Ovis aries: one gene and its partners. The protein of the gene in region 1 interacts with the protein of each later gene in a pairwise test. Links are inferred from orthologs where the notes say so. Each region holds a gene or a part of one and is shown in the gene's direction. Other genes may lie near its edges.

What was found. The genes of interacting proteins can lie anywhere in the genome.
Region 2: the proteins of DAZAP2 (region 1) and POGZ interact in binary tests that used the Homo sapiens proteins (3 or more experiments, as listed by UniProt). The two-hybrid records come from large-scale screens. The link is inferred for Ovis aries from reciprocal best matches to the Homo sapiens genes DAZAP2 and POGZ.
Region 3: the proteins of DAZAP2 (region 1) and EXD3 interact in binary tests that used the Homo sapiens proteins (3 or more experiments, as listed by UniProt). The two-hybrid records come from large-scale screens. The link is inferred for Ovis aries from reciprocal best matches to the Homo sapiens genes DAZAP2 and EXD3.

What each region holds. Positions count from the first base shown.
Region 1 is NC_056056.1:134,986,875-134,994,445, reverse strand, and holds DAZAP2 (DAZ-associated protein 2), read left to right. Parts: upstream 1-2,412; 5' UTR 2,413-2,494; coding exon 2,495-2,507; intron 2,508-3,509; coding exon 3,510-3,628; intron 3,629-4,042; coding exon 4,043-4,288; intron 4,289-5,204; coding exon 5,205-5,333; 3' UTR 5,334-6,652; downstream 6,653-7,571. UniProt on the Homo sapiens protein: In unstressed cells, promotes SIAH1-mediated polyubiquitination and degradation of the serine/threonine-protein kinase HIPK2, probably by acting as a loading factor that potentiates complex formation between HIPK2 and ubiquitin ligase SIAH1.
Region 2 is NC_056054.1:101,396,126-101,403,661, reverse strand, and holds the start of POGZ (pogo transposable element with ZNF domain), read left to right. Parts: upstream 1-3,328; 5' UTR 3,329-3,459; exon of another isoform or gene 3,460-3,483; intron 3,484-7,536. UniProt on the Homo sapiens protein: Plays a role in mitotic cell cycle progression and is involved in kinetochore assembly and mitotic sister chromatid cohesion.
Region 3 is NC_056056.1:555,679-563,379, forward strand, and holds the start of EXD3 (exonuclease mut-7 homolog), read left to right. Parts: upstream 1-3,493; 5' UTR 3,494-3,522; intron 3,523-4,518; exon of another isoform or gene 4,519-4,554; intron 4,555-7,169; 5' UTR 7,170-7,395; exon of another isoform or gene 7,396-7,454; intron 7,455-7,701. Other genes in the region: NOXA1 (NADPH oxidase activator 1), read right to left, coding at 25-133, 920-1,002, 2,841-3,017. UniProt on the Homo sapiens protein: Possesses 3'-5' exoribonuclease activity. Required for 3'-end trimming of AGO1-bound miRNAs.

The sequences.
Region 1 (7,571 bases):
TTCAGGCTTTCGGGTGGTTTAGGATCTAAGTTGTAAAAGTTAGGTTACAAGGGAGAAGATTGACTGATCTGACCTCCAAGGACTTATTCTTTCAAATTTACCAATTAGTGACTGCAAATTTCATGCTAAGAAAAATGCAAGACCCTAAAAGTCCACTTAAACAAACAAACCCCAAAACAGTGTTTTTCAAAGTGTGAGTCCTGACTTGTTAGTAGGATGTGAAATCACAACCAGAATTGAAAAAAGGAAATAAGAGAGATTAGAAAATATGAGAGTGCATTGTATACAGAAGGATAGATATCAGGTCATAAAATTTCCAGTTACATATAATTCCACATATTTATTTATGTGTGTGTACTGGGTCATGATTTAAAGTTTATTACTTTAAATTACTGTGAATTTTGCTCAAAAAACTTTGCAAGCCCCTTTACCAGAAGGTGAATTCAGGAGAGCAAGAGCTTTGTTTTCTTTTAGAACAGTGCTTGGCATTTTTCAGTGTTCTCCAAAGAACTGTTGAATGAGTGAATATCTAACACTGTGCCTGCCTTCAAGAAGATTAGTCAGAAATACAAGAAAAGGTAAATATCAGAGGCTTTATCATACTAATAATACCAGCCTGAACCAAATAAATAATATGAATTTAAAGAAAGGGAAAAAACCTAAAAGAACTCCAAATACAGTCTTGGATATTGTGCTTTTAGGGCATTTTAGTTGTGATAGGCTGGAGAAGGCAATGGCACCCCACTCCAGTACTCTTGCCTGGAAAATCCCATGGACCGAGGAGCCTGGTGGGCTGCAGTCCATGGGGTCGCTAAGAGTCGGACACGACTGAGCGACCTCACTTTCACTTTTCACTTTCATGCAGTGGAGAAGGAAATGGCAACTCACTCCAGTGTTCTTGCCTGGAGAATCCCAGGGACGGGGGAGCCTGGTGGGCTGCCGTCTATGGGGTCGCACAGAGTCGGACACGACTGAAGCGACTTAGCAGCAGCAGCAGCAGCAGTTGTGATAGGCAGAGTAAAGGGATAAGAACAAAACAAAACCAAACCACTGATTTGGGAACCGGGGTGGGGGTGGGGACCAAGATAACACACCTGACTTTGTAACCTGTTCACTGTGTGACTTAGGGCAAATCTCTCATTTGAAAAACAGAAATGCTTAAACAAGCCCTGCCTGCCACACAGGGCTGTTGTGAAGATCTGTGATGACTCCATAAAATCATGCATATTAATGGTGTCCTGCAAACTGTAATTTGACACTGGAGAGAAAAACAGCGGACTGCTGATGAAGTGAGTACTGGTCTTTTCAGTGGTTTAAGTCATTCAACAGCAAATATGGATCAGGTTGCTAATGTTTACCGAGGGTTTTTCTTTTCAAAGCTTTCTTTTCAGATGCTTTTCTAATGTTCTTCCTACACTACAGAATGTAAACCATGAGAAAATAGCCTTGGGCTGTCTTGTTCAGCTCCATCTCTGTACCTGAACACAGCAAGCGTTCAGCAAATATCTTAAAGAATGGAAGCAATTGTTGCCTTAAAGGATGGCATCTTTGCTCTTAAGAACGATTAAGTTAGAAGAGAAGGGATACACAGAGAAAATACCTATCAGGTACCATACAGGTGTCTGTGACAGGTATCAAAGTAAGGGCCAGGGCATGGGTACTCCTTGGGTACCAAGAACATGCGTTTTAGTGCTAGCTGTTGCAGCGGGGTGGGGCGGGGCACAGCACAGCATACCCTTTCTGTCGGTGAGAAAGCGACACAGAAATAAAACACCGACAGCCTATCGGTAGAATAGAAAGGCAGTGAAGACTTGAGTGAGGGGAACGAGAGATAGATCAAGGGTTGCGAAGCATCTCAGGCAGTTAGGTAAGATTGTAGAAATCTATGTCCCGTGTGTGTGTGTGTGTGTGTGTGTGTGTGTGTGTGTAGGAATCTATGTCCCGTGTGTGTGTGTGTGTGTGTGTTAGTTTCCGGTTCGGTCCATGGGAAATGGCAACCCACTCCAGTATTCTTGCCTGGAGAATCTCATGGACAGAGTCGCACAGAGTCGGACTCGACCGATGAGACTTAGCAAGCATGCATGCCCCTTGTAGAAAGGCTGTCAAGGTGAGGTGACCTTGAGGTGCTGAACGTAGGTGGAAAAAGGTTCCAGAGAATAGTTTAATGTTACTGCCTCCGAGCGTTCAAGAGAGAGAAGATCCCGTTTTGAGACAATACCTGTATTTGGTTTTCCTTCAGCCGAGGGACAAGGGTAGGGGTTGGAGGACCAGACCCGGTGGGCGGGGCCTACGCGAGCGGACGGGATCACGCGGGCCCTCCCTCCTGCAACCGGCGGCCGGGCGAAGGGGCGGGGTTTCCGGTGGCAGCGGCACTCGGGCGTCGGGTGACGCTAGGCGGACAGATCGTCACGTGACACGGAAGTGACTACGAACAGGAAGAGGACGAAAAAAATAACCGTCCGCGACGCCGAGCCGAGCCGGACCCGCAGCCACCATGAACAGCAAAGGCAAGGATAGGGGGTGGCTGAGGCCGCCGGGGGGACTAGTGCTGGCCCGGAACGAGCGGGCCCGGAGCCCAGGGTCACCGAACGCCAGGCCTGGGGCGAGGTGCGCCGCGCTCCTGAGCCAGCTGCAGTGCCCGGGGCTGCGCCAGACACCTTCGTCATTCCCGAACTACGGCCGTTCGCTCCCTCACGGCCCTTTCTCCCTTAAACTCTGTGGCGCAGTTTGGAGCTGCGGACTCGGGTTGGGGGGGGGCTGTTGGGTGGGTGGGTTGGGGGGGTGGGGAGAAGGTTTGTCGTGATGGGCATCTGTAGGAGCAAATGGGGAGCTGGAGGCGAGATTTGGGTAGGCCAATGGAGAACTGGCAGAGGCGGGGCGCCGCGCTCCGGAACCACAGGCAGGCCTCCGGGCTTAACTAGTAAAGTGCCGCTCTGGTGGGCGGGCCAGTCGGGCCCGAAGGGGGTCTCTTCCCCCTTACCCTCGCTGGCGGCCAGAAAGTCTCCCGGTTTCTGTGTCAGAACATTCCCTTCAGCCCCCTCCACGATCTCAGCATTCACTTCCACCACTCACTCTTTTCATTTGGAAGTCGACCTTGAGTAGGAACCTGTGAGGTCGATGACCACAACCACCGTTACTCACGAGGTCTTGGTCAGTTACAACCAGACCTTTGGAGACCACGCAGGACAGGGAGACAGGACACACCGTTGAAATACCGGCTAGAGGGGATGCCCAGAACTGCCCTGCGTTCTGAGAGGATCTTGGGCCCAGCTAGACTTTCCCCTTACAGCAGTCGGCTACTGGATGTCCAGTTGGAATCCAGCTTCTTCAGCTTTAAGGGTGCAACGAGAATGCTTATTTTCTTGGCTCCAGGAATCAGGCCCTCTAGGGCAGTCTGTTTGGAAATCTCTTTTTGCTTATCCCAGCTAGATTAGCTACCCAATATGCCCTGCTTTGTTTTGGTGACTGTATGGTAGACAACATGCTTTTTTTCCCCCCTTGTCTTCCAGGTCAATATCCAACGCAGCCAACTTACCCTGTGCAGCCTCCTGGGAACCCTGTGTACCCTCAGACCTTGCATCTTCCTCAGGCTCCACCCTATACTGATGCTCCACCTGCCTACTCAGAGGTGCTTCCAGTTAACTTAATAATGGAATACTCTTGGATCATGTTTTCGGTCCTTGGCCAAGTCTGGCTCCACACATTTATTTACTTTCCACAAACAGAAGAGAGTGCTCACATGAATCATCTTAAAACGTGACATAGTTCAGCCATTTCTTTTGGGTTTGAGAAGGCATTATCTGATTGTTTTATGTTATTTGGCACTGGCTGAAGTTAAGAAGATGAGTTTGCATTCCCTGAGCCTAACATTAGCTATAGCAGGAAGTGATCCAGGAGAATATTGAGTGGCAGTGGAAAGGCAACTTGTGTAACTCAAAGAGTGTAATCTGCACAAGGAGAATTAAGACTTGACTCATTAAATTGAGATCTGAAATAGGAATGTCATGAAGTAACTTATTGCCTTCTCTTCTGCCTCTTCTAGCTCTATCGTCCGAGCTTTGTGCACCCGGGGGCTGCCACCGTCCCCACCATGTCAGCTGCATTTCCTGGCGCCTCACTGTATCTTCCCATGGCCCAGTCTGTGGCTGTTGGACCTTTAGGTTCCACAATCCCCATGGCTTATTATCCAGTTGGTCCCATCTATCCACCTGGTTCAACAGTGCTGGTGGAAGGAGGGTATGATACAGGGGCCAGATTTGGAGCTGGCGCTACTGCCGGAAACATTCCTGTGAGTATGACTTGGTCACAAAAAAGCTCGACCCTTGTGTATTTTAACTTTCTGAAATGACTGGTCATCCTTTCATCATCCCTGGGTAATAGTTGCTGGTATTGGTGTAATAATCACTGACGTCCAGTAGTCAGGCAGAAAGCACTCAAAGGGGCAGGAGAACCGTGGCCAGTCAGTAACATCTGGCGTACTCACTGATGTTAGAATTTATCAGATTCCTTTGTTTTCCTGTCTTAGGAGTCCTGCCTGCTGCTTTTCCAGTTCACTTTGATACTAGTTTAGTAACACTCCTCATTCATTCCATAAGCATTTATTTATATGTGCCATCAGCATGGCATCGTATTAGGAACCATGACGATTAAAAAAACAATGCATAATCCCTATTAAATTGCATTTAGAGAGATACTAGGGATTTTAGCAATGTCTCTTGATTAGTTCCCCTATGTATGGGAATTAGAGCCCATATGGTCCTTGCTAGGACCATCTACTCAATAACCATAGGCTAGGGATGAAGTGAAAATGCTGTCATCAGGTAGAGCCTTCAGATTATCCAGGGCCATTTGAAAACTGTCAGGCCCTGTGATATAAGTCCCTGGACCTGGTACCCGCTCCGTTTTGGGATGTGAATAGGAGTGATTTTCTGCACTGAAAATGCCAAGTCTGGACTTCCCACACTTAGAAGGTATCCATAGGCTTTATTTTGGATCCAGAACCCTTTAAATGAGTGGGTTTCCTGTTTATATCTTTGGCCTTACAAAGAATGTAGACCTGCTGGACTCAGATTGGTGGCCCAGATAGCTCTTTGAGATGCCGCTGGTTAGCACACTGCCATCTTCCTGATTGGTCCTTTTTCACCTTTGTCCACTTCCCTCCCATAGCTGCCCTCTGCCCAATCAACCTTGTCTTTTCCTTTCAGCCTCCTCCCCCTGGATGCCCTCCCAATGCTGCTCAGCTGGCAGTCATGCAGGGAGCCAATGTCCTCGTAACTCAGCGGAAGGGAAACTTCTTCATGGGTGGCTCAGATGGTGGCTACACCATCTGGTGAAGAACCAAGGCCATCTCTATGCCGGGAAAGACATCACATACCTTCAGCACTTCTCACAATGTAACTGCTTTAGTCATATTAACCTGAAGTTGCAGTTTAGACACATGTTGTTGGGGTGTCTTTCTGGTGCCCAAACTTTCAGGCACTTTTCAAACTTAATAAGGAACCATGTAATGGTAGCAGTACCTCCCTAAAGCATTTTGAGGTAGGGGAGGTATCCATTCATAAAATGAATGTGGGTGAAGCAGCCCTAAGGATCTTCCTTTAATTCCTCTGGAGTAATACTGTACCATACTGGTCTTTGCTTTTAGTAATAAAACATCAAATTAGGTTTGGAGGGAACTTTGATCTTCCTAAGAATTAAAGTTGCCAAATTATTCTGATTGGTCTTTAATCTCCTTTAAGTCTTTGATTTATATTACTTGTTATAAACGAACCGCATTAGTTGTCTGCCTTTTTCTTTCCGTCCTTTGCCCCTGGTCCTACCCTCAACCCTTGTCTTCCACTCCTTCCCACCAATCTCCATTGAATCAATGGTGCAGGACAGAAAGCCAGTCAGACTAATTTCCTTCTCTCCTTGCACTTCCCCCCACTTGTCATCTTTTAACTAGTCTTTCACAAAGGATCCTCTGAAACCCCCTCTGTGCCCCAAGCACAGGACCCATTGCTTCTGCTTTTGCATCTCCTCAGGCAAAAGCGGAGGGTGCCTTTTGGACCCTCCTCATAGGTTTTCTCTTCAGACATGAACCAAGCCCAAATTTGTTCTGGTGCCAGAAAAACTGAACCTTGTTTTAACAAAGGATATCAGTGCAAACTACCGTAAACAGCAGTCTTTATAATTTTGAGGGGCAAGGAAGAGGATGCATTTAAAAGCCTGATGACTCTGGAGCCAAATTAAGGGGAGTTTGCAGATCAGAAATTGGTTACCATTTCTTGTCAGTGTCTGATGTAGCCACTTATGGCTCCCAAGAATTCCTCAGCTGGGTTAATGGGGTCATATTGTGAATGCCTCACTACTAAATGACTTGAGTCCAGTGAAATCTCATTAGGGTTAAGAATATTTCAGGGATCCTTAATATTTTGATTTTTGTTTTCTAAAATTGGATTTTATTTTATTTTATCTTATAATTTCAGTTCATCTAAATTTGTGTTCTGTACATGTGATGTTTGACTGTACCATTGACTGTTATGGAAGTTCAGCGTTGTATGTCTCTCTCTACACTGTGGTGCACTTAACTTGTGGATTTTTTATACTAAAAATGTAGAATAAAGACTATTTTGAAGATTTGAATAAAGTGATGAAGTTGCATTACACCTCACTTCAAGGATTCTTTACTCAACTTGTTTTTAGATCTCTTCTGTATATAACGTTTTTTATATCCCACCTAGAATTCAGATAAGTGTTGCTGTCATTGTTTTGTTTTGTTTTTTTCTTTTAATGAAGTCTTTGAAATAAATGCAGGAGTACAAGGCTAAGATTTGACCATTTTCATGAGTTCCATTCTAGATGTTAGCTTTTTTTCATTTTATTTCCTAAGTGCTTTCAGATTCTTAAAAGCCTATTAGGCCAGAGGAATTCAGAACATAAACTTAGAAATAAGGGAACAACTGAGTCTCCTCATTTGGAGGAGTCTCCTCCAGCCCTTAAGTTTGACAACTGTTAAGCTGTAAGTTGAGGGTGATCTTCGGTTTTTCCAAAATTCTGTTTGGAGAAATGCTGAAAACTGGAATATAAGTTGCTAAGATGAATTTCTCAACTCTTGGGTCTTACCTTGGGTGGACTTGAGCTTGAAAAATGAAGACCATATAGTTAAGACCTTGAAGGAGGTTTAGTTTAATTCCAAAGTAAACAATGCATGGAGAGTTAATGATTTCTACCAAAACACTGTACCTTTTAAATATGCCTCATTTTGAGATGGATGAAATGAGATAGAAAGGGCACTGGTGGGAAAAGTCACAGGTTGTTCCTGGTTCCCTCTGTGTGTACACAGAATGGATCAGGGACATACTGGCCCTTGCCAGGATGGAGGCTAGACAACTCATCTCCCAGGGTCTATTTCTAATGACCCTCTTCCAGGACAAATTTCCCAGGACCACCTCTGTTGCAAACCTCTGAGATTGTTCTGGGAACTTCTGAAACTTCCCTGGGGCCCCCTTTGCTTGGGAGAGAACACAGGTAAGAGTTGAGTAAGCAAAAAATGGACATGAACTTGTGCAAACTCTGGGTGATAGAGGACA
Region 2 (7,536 bases), on another chromosome or scaffold:
GCACTGGCAGTCAGATTCTTAGCCACTGGACCACCAGGGAAGTCCCACACGGTCATTTTCAAAAGACCACTGTAGCTGCAGAGAGGGCCGTGGGTGAATGCAGGCAGACAATTTTGGAGGCTGTTGGGGAAATCAAGGAAAGAGATGATGCCAGCTTGGATTGGCATGGTGGCAGGAAGAATACAGAGGAGCAGAGAAAAGTATGGAAATTTCAGGTGGAAGACGAAAGGAACTAAGCCCTTTCTATGTGTTCTCATTGTACCTTACACTTCTCTCATCATTGCCTTTATTACGTCTTACTGAAATTACCTTTTTACTCCTCTGTGTTTCCCTCTAGACTTGGGGTGCCCAACATCACTCGTCATATGTGGAATCTGAGCAGTGCAATGTGAGATGTGCTCTAAGTGTAAAACACACACTGAATTAGAAAACAATTCAGAATAAAGAATGCAAATATTAATAATTTCTATATTGCTACATATTAAAATGATATCTATATAGTTGGTGGACATAAAATACATTATTAAAATTAATGTGATTGGTTTCTTTTTAATGTCTTTATGTGGCTACCAGAAAATTTTAAATTATTTATATGGCTCACATTATGCTCCTACTAAACAGCACTATGAGAGAATATAAGAACTGAGGTATCTCCAAGGCCTACCACTTATTTAAATAAGCATTCAATGAGTAAATATATTTGGCCAGGTCACATTCAAATTCTGACTGCAGGTATGTATTAATGATGAAGGCTTTCAGTGTTGGATCATATTGTTAACAATCTTGGCTTCACTGTTGGCTGAAAAAGAATGTGTTTTCTAAATCAGTTAGACCCAACATTGCCCAGAATTTGGCTAAAAACTTTAGAATACTTCTGCGACCCATCTGCTTGTCTGAGATATTTGTCTACTAAAGAACACAGTTCACCTGTGGCTCAGTCCCTCTGGAGACCGTGGCGCAGGCATGGTTCCGTAACCGAGTACCACCTTAAAGCAGGCACTCTAAAGGCAATGACTAAAACATGAAACAGAATACCTACACATCGCCATCTGTGAATCTCTTCTGAAGCTGTGACTTGATTTTCACTCAGTGGTTGAGCACCTTGCCAAATCTGAGCTGCTACGGAGCTCGGGTACTTGAGCCAAAGGAAACGAGCACAGTGTCCAGCTGACTCTGTGGTCACAGCCAATTCAAGCGGAACACTCACATGTCTTTTGAACACATCAGCACTACTCTTGTTTTATTCCCCTGCAGCTTTACATGCGCTGTGCTTAGCTGTCAAGTCACATCAATCAGAAAGAACAATTTTATGAGCCAGTAGGGGTCTGGCATGTTGTATCTCTCAGAATCCTTTTAATTAATTCACTAAAGTCTTTAAGGAAACAGCTTGGTAAATCTCTTCAGCAAGTTTCCACTGCTTTGCAGTCTGACAGCATTAAAATAAACTAGAGCTCCATGTTCTGTTTTAACCTTTTCCAAACATGCTTACTACTGAATATAGCTAAGGGCAGAAACACAAAAGAAAATTCAGCCTTAATTCCTCCATGGAATCATGTGACTTGCAGAGCTCCCAGCCTACACTCTCCCAGTGAATGATGTAATGGAAGCTGGGGCCCACTAATCGCTTTTGACATGAATAACTTGAATAACTTGTAGAAACCTTTCTTCCCCCTGATTTGTGTCAAGTGAGCTTAGCTTTTCCACATTTAAGAAAACTTCTCAAGCTCCATACTAACAAGAGGCGAGGGCCTACTAGTCAAGTAGGCACCCATTTTTTTCCCCCTAAAATTTTAAGTTTAAGTAATCCACATTCCAAGGTCAAGAGAGCCTGCATCTGGTGAAAGGGCTTTAGGGCAGACACCTCCATGCTAAGCTTCATTGATGACGTCATTGCACTACTGGATCCCCATCCTGGTGTTTTCCCTACGTATATAGTAAGGAACATGCCATGTTCATTCATTCAACCAGTATTTACTGTTTGCCATGAGCAAAGCACTTTGGAGCATATCTAGATAAATAATAAATAGTTATCAGTTAATGAGTCCCTATTATATCCTAGGTATCTTAAAATCTACACAACACTGCAATGAGATTAACTCCATTTCATTGCAAAATAAAACAAGGTCTCTAATTTGAGTCTACATTTCACAAAGATTTCTGGTGTATAGCGTGGTATAGACGTGTGTGTGTGTGTTCTGGTGTATAGCATGGTATAGATGTGTGAGTGTGAGTGTGTGTGTGTATGTGTGTGTGCATTCAGTCGCATCTGACTCTTTTTGACCTCATGGACTGTAGTCTTCCAGGCTCCTTTGCGCATGTAATTCTCCAGGCATGAATACTGGAGTGGGTTGCCATTTCCTTCTCCAGGGATCTTCCCGACCTAAGTATCAAACCTGCAACTCTTGCATCTCCTGGACTGGCAGGCGGATTCTTTACCACTGTGCCACCTGGGAAGCCCGATATAGACTATATGTATACATAAATGCTGTTTCTGATGAAATTGACAGGTATATCAGATCATTTAATGCTTAATACCCAACAGTATTCTGAACTAAACACTCCTCAAATGTTTGTTGACATACCAACCAGGAAAGAGAGAGACTGTCTTCCATCCACACTAAAAACAGCATGGCAAAAGATACTTAGAAATGCATGCAGCAATTAAGCAAAATTTCCTCAATCTGAATGAGAAGCTAGGTAAATTACCTACCCATCGAGATTTTTCAAAAATAACTTTAATTAAACCTGGGCTGAGTTATGATCTAAGCACTTTTAGAAAGGCCATGTATTAGAATGGAGTAAAACAAAACCTCAAAGTCATAACCCATGGAAATGTTCATTACTTACCAGGGTGATGTTTTGGGGAGTCGGCCTCCACTGGCAAAATTACTATCACACCGAAATCTTATTCTAAGTATCTGGTGAGGGTAAATGAGAGCCTTGCAGCCTGATCTTTCCAAATGTAATTTACATCTAAATTAATTTGAGAGAGAAAAGAAAGAAAAACTCTATGTTTAAAAGTCGCCTTTTAATTTTTCCTCCAGGTCACCTCTTCTGCACTCTTAATATGGCTCCCTTCACGGAGTCGGAGGCCAAAAGACCATCATGACAAAAAGAAATTATCAAAAAAAAGACGAGTCTTGACAACCCAAGCCACTCACTGGGTTCGGGAGGCCAAGGCCCCATCCTTAACTCCCCGGCCGCCAGCGCCCCCTCGCGGGCAGAGACCGCTCAACCGAGGAGAGCCGGCAGCCACTGCCCTTTGGGAGAGTTCAGGGCTACGTCTCCCCTGCGCCCCGCCTCGCTACCCCCGCCCCGTCCCGCCCCCGCCGCTGGCGCCTCCGCACCCGTCTGCAGCCCAGCCCCCGGCGTTCGCCGCTCCCGCTGCTCCTGCTGGCGCTTTCCGCACACCCACCCACACGTCAAACGCCCTCTTTTCCCCTGAAAAGTTTCTAGACGGTAGGGACTATTTTCTTCTAATGTAACCTTCCACCAAACTGGAGGGAAAAGTTACCCGAGGCCTGGGAGGGGTCGGGGCTCTGGGGGCGGGGGATGGGACCTGGCTTTTAGAAAAGAGGTCTCTTTTCAGTGAAAATAAATGATTGGGCCTCCAAGCCAGAGCTTTGTTTGCTGGGTTAACTGTAAAAGGTGCTTGATGATGCTAAATATTTAAGATAAGAGTTTTTCTTAAATTAACAAAATATATTGTACCAGATGAATGGTTCTTGTCTTCAGACCTTGCAGTTCCTTCTGTTGATTCTCATCTGAATCCCTTCTTCCCCCAGGCTCCTAAATCCTTACCTTCAGCTATAGAGAAAACAAGATCCCCTGGGAATGACTTATTAAATATCCTAGAGACCAAAGTCAAACCTAGAAACTGCTGTCCTGGGAAGTTGGCTGAATTCTATCCATATTCGGGATGGGTAAACTCACCTGCAGAAATATGTAGTGATTAGAAAAACCCAGTAGGCCTGTATTTTTTAAGATTATAAGTGGCAAAAATCAGTTTGGCAAGGAATTTTAGAGAGGAAGGGAGGGAGAAAGAAAGGGGAAGGAAGGAAGGAGCCCGAGTAAAAGAGTAGAAAAACATTATGTACTAAGAGTCAGTATTCTTTCATGAAACCAGTATCATGTTTGCATGTACCAGATCAAGAAGTAGAATATATTTCTTGCTGTGTGTTGTCAAAAAAATGTCTGCAAAACCACTGCAATAGACAATGGAATTATGTTAAGAGACCTAGAAGGGTTTGAAAAGTCATCTACTTCATTCCGCTCTACTTAGGCAGTGTTTCATTTAAAGAGTGTGTGTGTTAATTGCTTGGTCCTATCCAACTCTTTGAGACCCCGTGGACTGTAGCCTGCCAGGCTCCTCTGTCCATGGACTTCTCCAGGCAAGAATATTGGAGTGGGTTGCCATTCCCCTTTCCAGGGAATTTTCAAGGGATGGTACCTGGGTCTCTTGCATTGCAGGCAGATTCTTTACTGTCTGAGCCACCAAGGATGTCCCCATTTAAAGAATAGGCCAGACTTAGTTATTCTTCTTGCTTATCTTCCCATCTTAATATATACTATTAATGGCTTGTGAACAATTTGTGTCTTGAAAGCTATTATTTCAGTAAAGAAAGCTGTAGCTTAAAATATGAAGGGAATTCTGCCAAGCTCCTCTTTTCTCTATGGCTCTTCTATTACCGTGTGACCCCGGGGCCCTGGACACATTCCACGTCTGGAAGCGCTGTCGGAAGTGCAGACCTGAAAGCCTGGGTTACTAGAACATCATGTGGTCAAGTATTCCTGTGGGTCTATTTTTTAATATATGTTTACTTTAAAATAAACATTTTTCTTTTCCCTAATTGTTTATTAAAATATTTTTATTGGTCTATATAAATCATATGAGAGCCTGAAGTGCTTGAATTTGACTTTGTCCCTTCTCAGTGGGGGAAGCTTGCTTTTGTGCTAATCAGGACTATGGTCTCTGACTGAAATTTCTGTTTTTGCCCCCATTACACACGCTTACTTCATTCCTGCCATTTTCATTAGTTCAACATTTGGATCAAAAGGCTCACATGTATGTGTGGGTAAAGGTGCTGATGGCAGGGAAACACTTCCATCATCAGTAGTGGGCCACTGGCCCAGTAATAACAATAAAATAATAATGATGATTATCATTAACACCTATTTCTCAACACTTTTCTGTGCTAAGCAAATTACGTGCATCGGGTCAGTGAATTCTCCTAATAACCCTATCTCATAATTGAAGAAACTGAGCTTAGACGAGGGTAAGTAATGTGCTGGTTTGTGATTGGCAGGACTCTTTACCTGGTCTCTCCTTTCATTTTTTTTTTTTTTTTTTTTCACTAACTGAATACGGAATCTGAGTGTTTTCCTCCAAAGACCTCTTGCCTAAAAGGCAATTGTGATACCAGTGAGATAGATTATGTAAGTCATGCCTTGTTAACTGGCATCTGAAGTGCACCACAGATTTTATTTCCCAGGCAGGAAGGGGTCATTGCAAACGTGGATGTAGGAAGGGGAGCCCCTGGGTAAATTGTATACAAAGCTGTACACAGATGTGTTTTGGGAGAGAAGAAAAGCAAACACTGTGAACTTACTTAACTGGTTTTATTTCCTGTACATGTTCGTCATGGGTCAGGGTTGCTATTCAGCTAGCTGTTCATGTTTGAGTACCAATCCTGCCAGTAAATCTTGGTGTTTGACCTTTAAGGGTCATGAGAGTCGTTGGAGCTCTTTGAGGGAGAGCAACAGGGGATGGGGAGAATTTTTGTGCAATTAGAAAAGTAATCTTTTGAAGAATAACATGCTTTCCTTTTTCCCTTTCTGAGAAAATGACTTGATCCTCAGTTGGCCCTTGACATTCATCTGCCTAGGGGAAATAAGGATTTGTTACAGAGGAATGAGGGGGAAATAACTGAGATATTTGGCTTCTGACAGTCAACATGGGATTTTATAGCAAGACAAGAACTTTATAAGCCCAGGTTAGTGGCTTGAAAGAGGATTTCCTAAATTCCCTTTGAAAAAGAGAATTCCTGTGCCTCCCTGAAGAGCCCCACTTGGGGAACTTAATTCAGGAAGTTCTCCCAGAGGGTATGACTGCCAGGCCCGATGCCTGCTGCTCAGTGGCAGAAGGACGCTATGTTTTTGGTCCTGGGGAATGATGGGAAGATGGGAACAAGAAATAAGCACAAGGGGGAAACTGCCAGATTTGTGTCCCAATTTCTCCCCTCCAGGCTTCTGCGTAGAGATGACCCAGGTGCATCATAGAATCGGAGGGAATGGCAGGGACTGGTCCTACTTGGGCCCTCGTCAGGAGGCCCGGGAGGCTCTGTTCCGCTCTGTGACACCGTGCAGAAGTGTGCTCAGGCAGGAGGCCTGGAGATTCAGCTTTCCTGAGAAAGCCACAGTGACTGACTCTCTGGCTGGTGGCTGGAGGGGTGAACTTTCAGGGCAAGGTGACCCCGGAGTGAACACTGCAGAGGGAACCACCTGCTTCGGCTACCCTGGGCCAGGGCGCCATGGGCCTCATGGACCCACAGTCAGAGAGCTGAGAAGAGGTTGAGGGAGGGCCACAGGGCCTGAGCACCCTGAGGAAGGCCCCCTCGCAGATCATAGCTGTATGGTCTCCAAGCACAAATTTCAGCTGCAAACACCAACAGGGCAAGGAGCGGCCAGGTGGAGAGGGGACATGGCCCCCAAAGGCAGAGGAGTCAAAGGACACTGCACTTGAGGGGTCTCTGGGTTCTCTCCTTTGTCATATGGTTGATAAGCCCTGCTGGTACACTTGGATAAATGCTGGGAAAGAGGGTGAAGGTATGAGAATGCTGAGAAAATGTGAGATTGCTGAGAAATGTTATTTTCATCCAGAGAAAAAGTGTTACCTAAAGGAGTTATTTATTTGATGAGACTTAACTTTCTTTTTTTGCTTTTCTTTTAATTATTTTAATAATTGTGAAATATTTAAGAAATAAGAAGTCATGTAAAGAACTTATGTATCTACTACTACTCAGTACAAAAGACAGGAACATTTCCAATACAGTTGAAACTTCCAGTATACCATGCCACAGATGTCACTTTTATTAGGTTGAACAAGATGAAATTGCCCATATTTGACTGTTTTTTACCTACCCAAAAACCCCAATAATTTTATATGATTTAACCTGATATTTAACCTTTGTAAGTTTGATCAGTACCTTGATCATTCTGTTGCCCACTTAGAATGTTTTTCTTCCTTTCCTTCACTTATCTACATGCTACCTGTGCTTTAAGACAAGATCTGAGCCCTAATTCTTTCAAGTTTTCACTGAAGACTTGAGCCTGCATAGAGCTTTCCTCCCCACCAATCCAGAATGTACTGTCTGTCTCCGGCAGCATTACCTTATTTTTTAAGAATTGTTTATTTAGGCTGTTCCGGGTCTTAGCTGCAGCATGTAGAATCTTTAGTTGCAGCATACAGGATCTAGTCCCTGACCAGGGATCAAACCCAGGGCCCCCTGCATTGGGAGTATGGAGCCTTAGCCATTG
Region 3 (7,701 bases), about 130 Mb from region 1:
GTGGCCCGCTCCCCGCACACTCACCTCCCAGGCTTGCAGCTTGAACCGCAGGCCCAGCTGGGTGTAGTCAATAGCGGTGTTATCCCTCAGCTGGGCCAGGGTGCGCTGGAAGTCGGACAGGGCCTCCTGGAACCTGTGGGCAGTAGGGGAGCCTGGTGTGGGGGCCCTGGGCGGCCCCAGGGCAAGGGCTCCACCTTGGCCCGGACCCGGCCCCCGCCCCAGCCCCTCCTGCAGCACGGGGGCAGCGGCGGTCGGCAGGCCTCAGCACACGGGGTCCACACAGACGGGCTGTGCAGCATGTGGGCTCCTCCACCTGCACCGCAGGCCCTCTCCTGAACCTCGGGGTGCAGAGTGCCCTGCCTGCTTCCGGGGTCTCCGTCCCACAGGCCTCCCCACCCCGACCCCGGCTGGATGCCCCAACCCCAACCAGGATCCTCATTGCCCCGGGGCAGGCTTCCGGGCTGATGAGAAGGAGGTGACCCCAGAGCCCGCCCACCCTGTGTAGCGCCTTCTGTGGGCGCCGGGCCTGCCCTGCAGCTCTGATTCCTTCTCTGGGAAGGGCCTGGCACAGAGAGCCGCGTGGGCAGAGGACCCCCCGCCAACCCCGCCCAGTCCTGGGATGCACCATTCCTCCAGCCTTGCCCTGGGTTTCCCGAAGGCAGAATGGGCAGAATCATGCCGTCCCTGCAGTCCAGGGGGTAGGAACGGAGGAGGGGAGCCAGCAGAAGCGGTCTGTGACCCTCTTCCAAACAGAGCCCAGGGTCACTGTGCAGCCCGGCGTGGGGACAGAGAGACACGCCCCCACGTGAGCCCGGGGAGAGCTGGCCAGAGGAGGTGACCGTGGGCAGAGAGGAGCACAGGCAGGACTCTGCAGAGACGAAGGGCCGTCAGAGAAGGAAGAGGGCACGTCTGTGTTCACCTCTCCAGCTGGAAGTTGGCCACTCCGCGCTGGAGGAAGCCAACAGCCAAGCAGGCGTCCTTAGTCACCGCCCGGTCAAATGCCTGCGGACAGAAATGTCTGTGAACTGCTCAGGCCTGTAGCCCCGTCACCACCGTGTCACAGATGGGGATGCCCAGCAGTGGGTCAAGGAAGCCCGTCGGCCACATGACCGTCACCTGTAAGAGAAAGCCTCCCTCGCCTGCCCAGGGGCCTCTGGGTCCAAGGGGCGCAGGCGTCACGGCTTCAACGCAAACCTGCCTGGGCTCCCCAGGTGTTTTCTGATGGCTGCTCGGGGGTAGTTAGATGGCGGCACAGACCAGCTTGTTAACCACGAGGAGGAGGAAACGCTCCAGCACGTTGATAATAGTTACCTCCACGGAGGGAGTTATGTTAAGACTGTTGTCTCCTTCAAGCCCTAGCTTTGGTGGTTCACACAAAAAGACACACGTTTCATCTATTAGAGTCAGAAGGAAGAACAGCACGAAAGCCTTAATGTGCGTGTGAAGCCCAGCTCTTCCTGAAACTGAACTCAGAAATGATGCCGTCTGTTCCTAAGGACAGCAGCCATCAGGCAGACGCAAGCAAAAGGAGTGCACCCAGCAGCCACCAAGTTAAACACAGGCAACTGGAGGGTGTCACGGCCCCGCTCTAACAAACCTGGCCGAGCGCGGGCTTGTCGAGCTGAGTCTGACCGAGGCTGAGGGTCAGCACTCGGGCACTGATGTGGCCGCTCAGCACAAGGGAAACCCTTTTATCCTGCCACATAGAGTGGCCAGATAGGAGCTTTTGGGGGGCTCCTGCCAGAGACGGAGCCCCAGCTCCCCTCACCCTGTCCAAGTCAGCTTTATTGATTGTAGCCGTTCCATTTGCTTTTTAAATTTTTCCAACAAACATGCCTCTGCTACTCCATCTCCGATTAGGGTGGAGGAGAATTTAACGTGCACACCCTTGGCCTGGAACCTCTGTCCCCTCTTTCTGATTAAATCGAGGTTTAGGGGAGGTAGTGACTGGACTGGCATCATTCCACTGACCCCGTGGTGTCCAGGGGTGACATCCCCATTGCTGGATAACATTTTAACACTGACATTGCTGCTGAGATAACTGTAGATTCGAACACATATGTGAGGAACAACAGGGCATGCCCCTTGGACGTGTTTTCGGTTGACGTCGCCGTTGGCCTGGACAACGCGGGAACCTGGCTCTTTCTGGGGGCCCTTGGGGACCCAAGCAGTGAGCAGGGTGCTACTGCTTTTTGTCATCACCCATGGGATGTGCACCACTGTGATGAACCTGGAGGCTTGAAGGGCAGGGATGGCCCTGCCAGGCCCTCAGCAGAGGCAGGTGTGTGTGTGTGCCCGTGCATACATCTGGCTCTTGGTTCTGCTTTGGGGAGTGGGTGGGGGACAGGTGAGCACACGGATCTGGGGTTTAGGCCCCCAACCAGAGTCTGTCTCCTGGCCATCGCCACGGGCACCCGTGGCAACCCTCCGGCCCCATCCAGCCTCGAGCCTCTGTAGGCACCTTAGCACCTCCATCAAGAGCACCTGAGCCAGGGCTCACTTGGCCTTTCCACAGGACCGCAGAGCAGGGCAAACGGCCCCCACAAGTGGAGGCTGTGCTGGAGCCTTGCGACCCCATCCTGGCCCTGACGCAGCTCCACAGGGTCCCCCCGGACACACACAGGTCCCACCTGCTTAGGTGTTCGCTGCAGCAGAACGCTGGGGTGGGGGGAGTCTCCGGGTGGCCATCAGGGAAGAAGGGTGGGGGCCTTGGGCTCGCCCCTGCAGCTATCGCACCACGCATTGCCACCCCACCCCTCCAGCCCCCGCCACCAGGAGCAGAGAGCTGCATCCCCTGAGGTGAGGCCTCTGCGACAAAGCCTGGGGTCCCCCTGGCTCACCCGCAGCGCGGCCTCCGGGTCTCCGGCCAGCAGGTGCACGCAGCCCACGTTGAAGCTCACCCTGGCGGGCGGCTCCGAGACGCTCGAGAAGAGGCGCAGGGCGCAGTCCCAGTCCCCGCGCGCCACAGCCTGCGCGCCCTGGTGCCAGTCGCGCAGCAGGTCCCCGAGCGAGGCCATGGCGGAATGGACCTCGTCTGGCCCACGCGGAAGTCGGCGCTTCCCGGCCGGATCGCGGGAGGCGCAGGGGGCGGCCGTGACGGTCTTGCCGCAGGGGTGCTGGGGGAGAGGACCGCGGGGCCGGGGCCCCGGAATCCGGAGACCAGCGCGGGCCGAGGGAGCCCTTCGAGGCGGACAGAAGGGGCGAGGGCACCTCCGGCGCCAGGTACCAGGTGCGGGCGGGGCGGAGCGCGGAGCGCCAGGTGCCTCAGGTGCGCCGGGAAGGCCCGCAAGCCCCGCCCCGCAAGCCCCGCCCCGCCTGACCACGCCCCCACCGGAGGCCCCGCCCCGCCCCGAGTCGGCCCCGCCCCTCTGGACTTCCGCCCCGAGCTCCCGCGCCGGCGCTCTCCCGCCGCCGCTGCCGGCTCGGAGTCGGCTTCGGTGCGCTGGGGAAAACCATCCGGGCCCGCCTCTGGCGCCGCTGCCGCGGCCGCGCCAAGGTTCCGGGCGGCCCCTGCCGTGTCAGGTAAGGGGCCCCGCGGCCGGGCCGTGAAGCGGTGCCGGGGGCCTCGCGGGCCGGCGCTGGAGGCGGGCGCCGCTGGGAGGGCCCGGCGGCGGGTCTCCCGTGGGCCCCGGGTCGGCGCCGGAGGGGCGGCTGGGGGCGCGGCGCGGACGTTGGCCGCGGCCCCGGGCCGACGACCCTGGGGGGGCGTCTGTCAGGCCCTCAGCCCGCCGGGCGCGGCCCGAGACGCTCGAGCCCGGCCCGCGTCGGTGCCGCGCCGTGAACCCCGGAAGCCCCTTCCTCCCCGCCGCGAGAGCGGGAGCCTCCAGGGCCGTGCGCCCGCCCTGGGCTGACGCGGGCCGCCCTGCGGCGCTGGGGCTCTGTCCCGGCGGCGCCCTCTGCGTCCCGCGCGGCCCACTCTCAGCCCCGCGGTGCCCCAGGGCCTTCGCAGAGGGCGGCCGGCGAGGAGGACGCGCCCCTGCAGCTGCGGGGGCTGCATCTGCCTGAGGCGCCCGCGGGCTGGGGGAGCCGCAGCGGCCCTCCTCCTCGGGGGACCTGTCTTGGCTCTTTCGGCCTTCAGCTGACGGGATGAGGTCCACCCATGCCACGGGGGGTCTGCTTTCTATCGCTTTGTCCACTGTTTTAAATGTTGATCTCATCTGAAAGATGCTTTCACTGCAACATGTGACTCTGACCAAACACCTGGGCACCGCGGCCTTTCGAAGCTGACGCAGAAATGTTACCGTCAATGCAGGAAGCCTGGAAACTCTCCCGGACACAGGCTCTGCCCTTATGCCCGAGCATCCTCCAGGGTCTGGGGAGGTGTGTGTCCTGGGCGGCTGGCAGAGAGCCACCTGCCTCCGATCTGGGCACCCTCCCTGCTCAGTTGGGGCTGTGACTCTGCTTCCTTCCCTGAGGACAACAGTTGCTGAGGACAAGCCAGCCTGGCTGTGAGACGATTCTTGTCAACTGGGAAGGCCTCCTGGGCCGTGCAACCCCGAGGAGGCTGCTCTCTCACCAGTGGGGCGCTGAGGTTCCCAAACTGCTGGCCTGGAGGTGGGCAGAGCCCCCACCTCTCACGTACTCCTCTCCTCCCCGAATTCCCGTGTGGACGCTCCCTTCCTCAGACCAGACCTCCTGGCCCCCGGCCTCCCACAGCCCTGCTACGGGTCCTCAGGAACCTCGCAGCCCTGAGGATTTCTGAGCTCAGCTGCGCCCTCCCACCTGCCCACTTGGGCCTCGTTTTTCCTGCAGCCCCCTACCCACACCCATCCTTACAGCTCGTGCCCTCTACCCACAAACCCCCACCCACCAGTTCAGTTCACTTCAGTTGCTCAGTCGTGTCTGACTCTCTGCAACCCCATGGACTGCAGCACGCCAGGCCTCCCTGTCCATCACCAACTCCCGGAGCTTGCTCAAACTCATGTCCATCAAGTCGGTGATGCCATCCGACCATCTTTTCCTCTGTCATCCCCTTCTCCTCCTGCCCTCAATCTTTCCCAGAACCAGGGTCTTTTCCAATGAGTCAGTTCTTCACGTCAGGTGGCCAAAGTATTGGAGTTTCAGCTTCAGCATCAGTCCTTTCAATGAATATTCAGGACTGATTTCCTTTAGGATTAACTGGTTTGCTCTCCTTGCCGGCCAAGGGACTCTCAAGAGTCTTCTCCAACACCACAATTCAAAAGCATCAATTCTTCAGTGCTCACCTTTATAGTCCAACTCTCACATCCATACGTGACCACTGGAAGAACCATAGCTTTGACTAGACGGACCTTTGTTGGCAAAGTAATGTCTCTGTTGCCAAAGTAATATGCTGTCTAGGTTGGTCATAACTTTTCTTCCAAGGAGTGCCCCCCAAACTCTTGTCCAGCCCCTGGTCCCTCTGTCTGGGCAGGAGAAGCCTGGCCCCGCTGGCCTGTCTCTGTCCACAGTGGCCGCGAGCCTCAAGTGGGTCACGTGGCTCCTGCCCTGATGGCTCGCCCTCCCTGGCCCCTCCCTGGGCCCAGTGCCTTCCCTTCCCTCCTTGGCCTCACCTCCACCCATCCTGCCTCCCAGCTGGAAGGGGTCCCCGGCGCCTGCGCCCCAGATCTGCCTCCTCCCTCGGAGCACTGCCCTGTCCCCAGGATGTCTCCCTGGGGTGCCCCCCCAGGTGTCATTTCCCCTCTATGCAGACGTCCTGTGTTTCTTCCCACCTGAACAGAAGGCCCCCGCCCTCAGCCCCCGCGTCTCCTTGCTCCTTTACAGCCAGACTCCTTTTGAGAGTCGGCAGGACCCAGCGTCTCCATCTCCCTTGCCGGGCGCTTTTAGGTACTGAGATGCGCTTCACAAATCAGAAAGCTCGCTGTTGAATGTGCAATTCCATGCTTTTGTCAGATTCACAGAGCTGGGCCACCGTCGCCCCACGCATGCCCCGCTGCAGCCCCCCGCCCCGCCCCCATCATCCCTGCCCCCGGCGACCCGCCGTCCAGTGTCTGGGTTCACCTCTTCTGGACCATTCGTATGAACAGAGTCACAAAGCGTGTAGGTTTCTATCTGGCATCTTCCCCTCAGCATCGTGCTTGAGGTCTGCACACGTCGCAGGAGGGTCAGGGCTTCGTTCCTTTTCAGGCTGAGTCACTTCCGCTGTGTGGATGGACCCATTTTGTTGATCAAACGGACCCCCGCGGGGGCGCCTGGCACCTGTGAGTCGCGCTTGTGTGCGGGTGTTTCTGCAGCCTTGTGCTCTTGGGTGCACGCCCAGGAGAGGCGTTGCTGGGTCAGGCGCTCCCTCGGCGCAGCTCTTTGACCATCTTTCCATAATGCTTCTTATTCTTGATCCTGCCGGGGTGCCACCCAAACTCCTGCCGGGGTGTCTGGCGGCCTCCTCGTGACCCCTCCCCCCTCGGCGCCTGGCCTCTGGGACACATATCCTTTGGGTCTCCTGTATTCCCTGCCCCTTCCACCTCCTCTGGGCACCTGCTCCCCCAGGTCCCATGAATTACCCTCTGGCTGTCCTCTGTGCCCACTAATCTTGTGTTTTTCTATTTTCACAATAAAAGAATGAGAAAAGGGACTTCCCTGGCAGTCCAGCGGTTAAGACTCCACATGTCCAATGCAGCGAGCACAGGTTCAGTCCCTGTTCGGGGAACTAAAATCCCACATACCCTGAGGCACGGCCCCCAAAAATAAAGATGAAAGAGGTACCATTGCTGTGCCTGCCCCTGTGGTACTGTAGCTCTGCCCCCTGGTGGCCCAGAGCTGGAAGCAGCCTAGGTGCCCCTCGGGGGTGCTGGCCAAGCAGCGCCTGCGTCCACCACAGGAGCCCACTCTGCGAAAGGGTCGGGCACTGGGCACTCACAGCGACGCGTGTGTGTCTCAGGGGAGTGTGCCAAGTGAGCGCAGACGCACAGAGGCCAGACTGTGTGGTTCCATCCGTGCAACTTGCCTGAAGTGACAGGCGACGTGAGCAGAGATGCGCCCAGCACTGCCGGGGCCGCTCGCAGTCAGGGCCTCGGGGCGACTGCAGGGGCCAGCGAGGGCTCTCCTCCAACCCACACGGCGCCCTGCTTGGGATCTGGGGTGAAACATAGATGCGACGTCTCTTTATTATTTCTTACAAGTTATCTCGAAATGAAATGTTTAATTAAAAAATCCTTAAGAAGAGCTCAATTACAAGTTTTTCTGTTTTACAGATACCCTGAAAGTTGGAGTGATTCAGTGACCTCTAAGGTTCTTCCAGCTCTGAAGAAGGTGGTTCGGAAACACTTCGTTGTGTCTGAGCTGAAATCTACTCCCCAGTAGCAGTGGAGGCGTTGGGAGCGGCTTCCATCAGGACACTGTTCCAGCTCTGGCTGTGAGAGCTCCCGGCCGCTCACATCAGCAGCGCTGCTGAGACCGTTTGGAGCACACAGCTCACGCGTGAGTGTGTGAGGGAACACACGCTAGAGGGAGCCCAGGAGAGGGAACCGCTTGCTGAGGTAAGGACTCAGCTCAGAGGCCAGCTTAGCGCTGGAACTTGCTTCCCAAGAAACTTAATAGCTGGTTGATTCTGGAGCTCATGGGTCAGTCAGATGGGCAGGAGTTTTGGATATTTGGGAATTGATTTTAGCCCAAGACAAGAGGTTGGGGTTGTTGTTGTTGTTGTTGTTGTCCCCTTTTTAAACAATGGGCACATCCAAGGAAAAAGCCAAATGCCACATAAGATTCTTCTCTCGGAAAATAAAT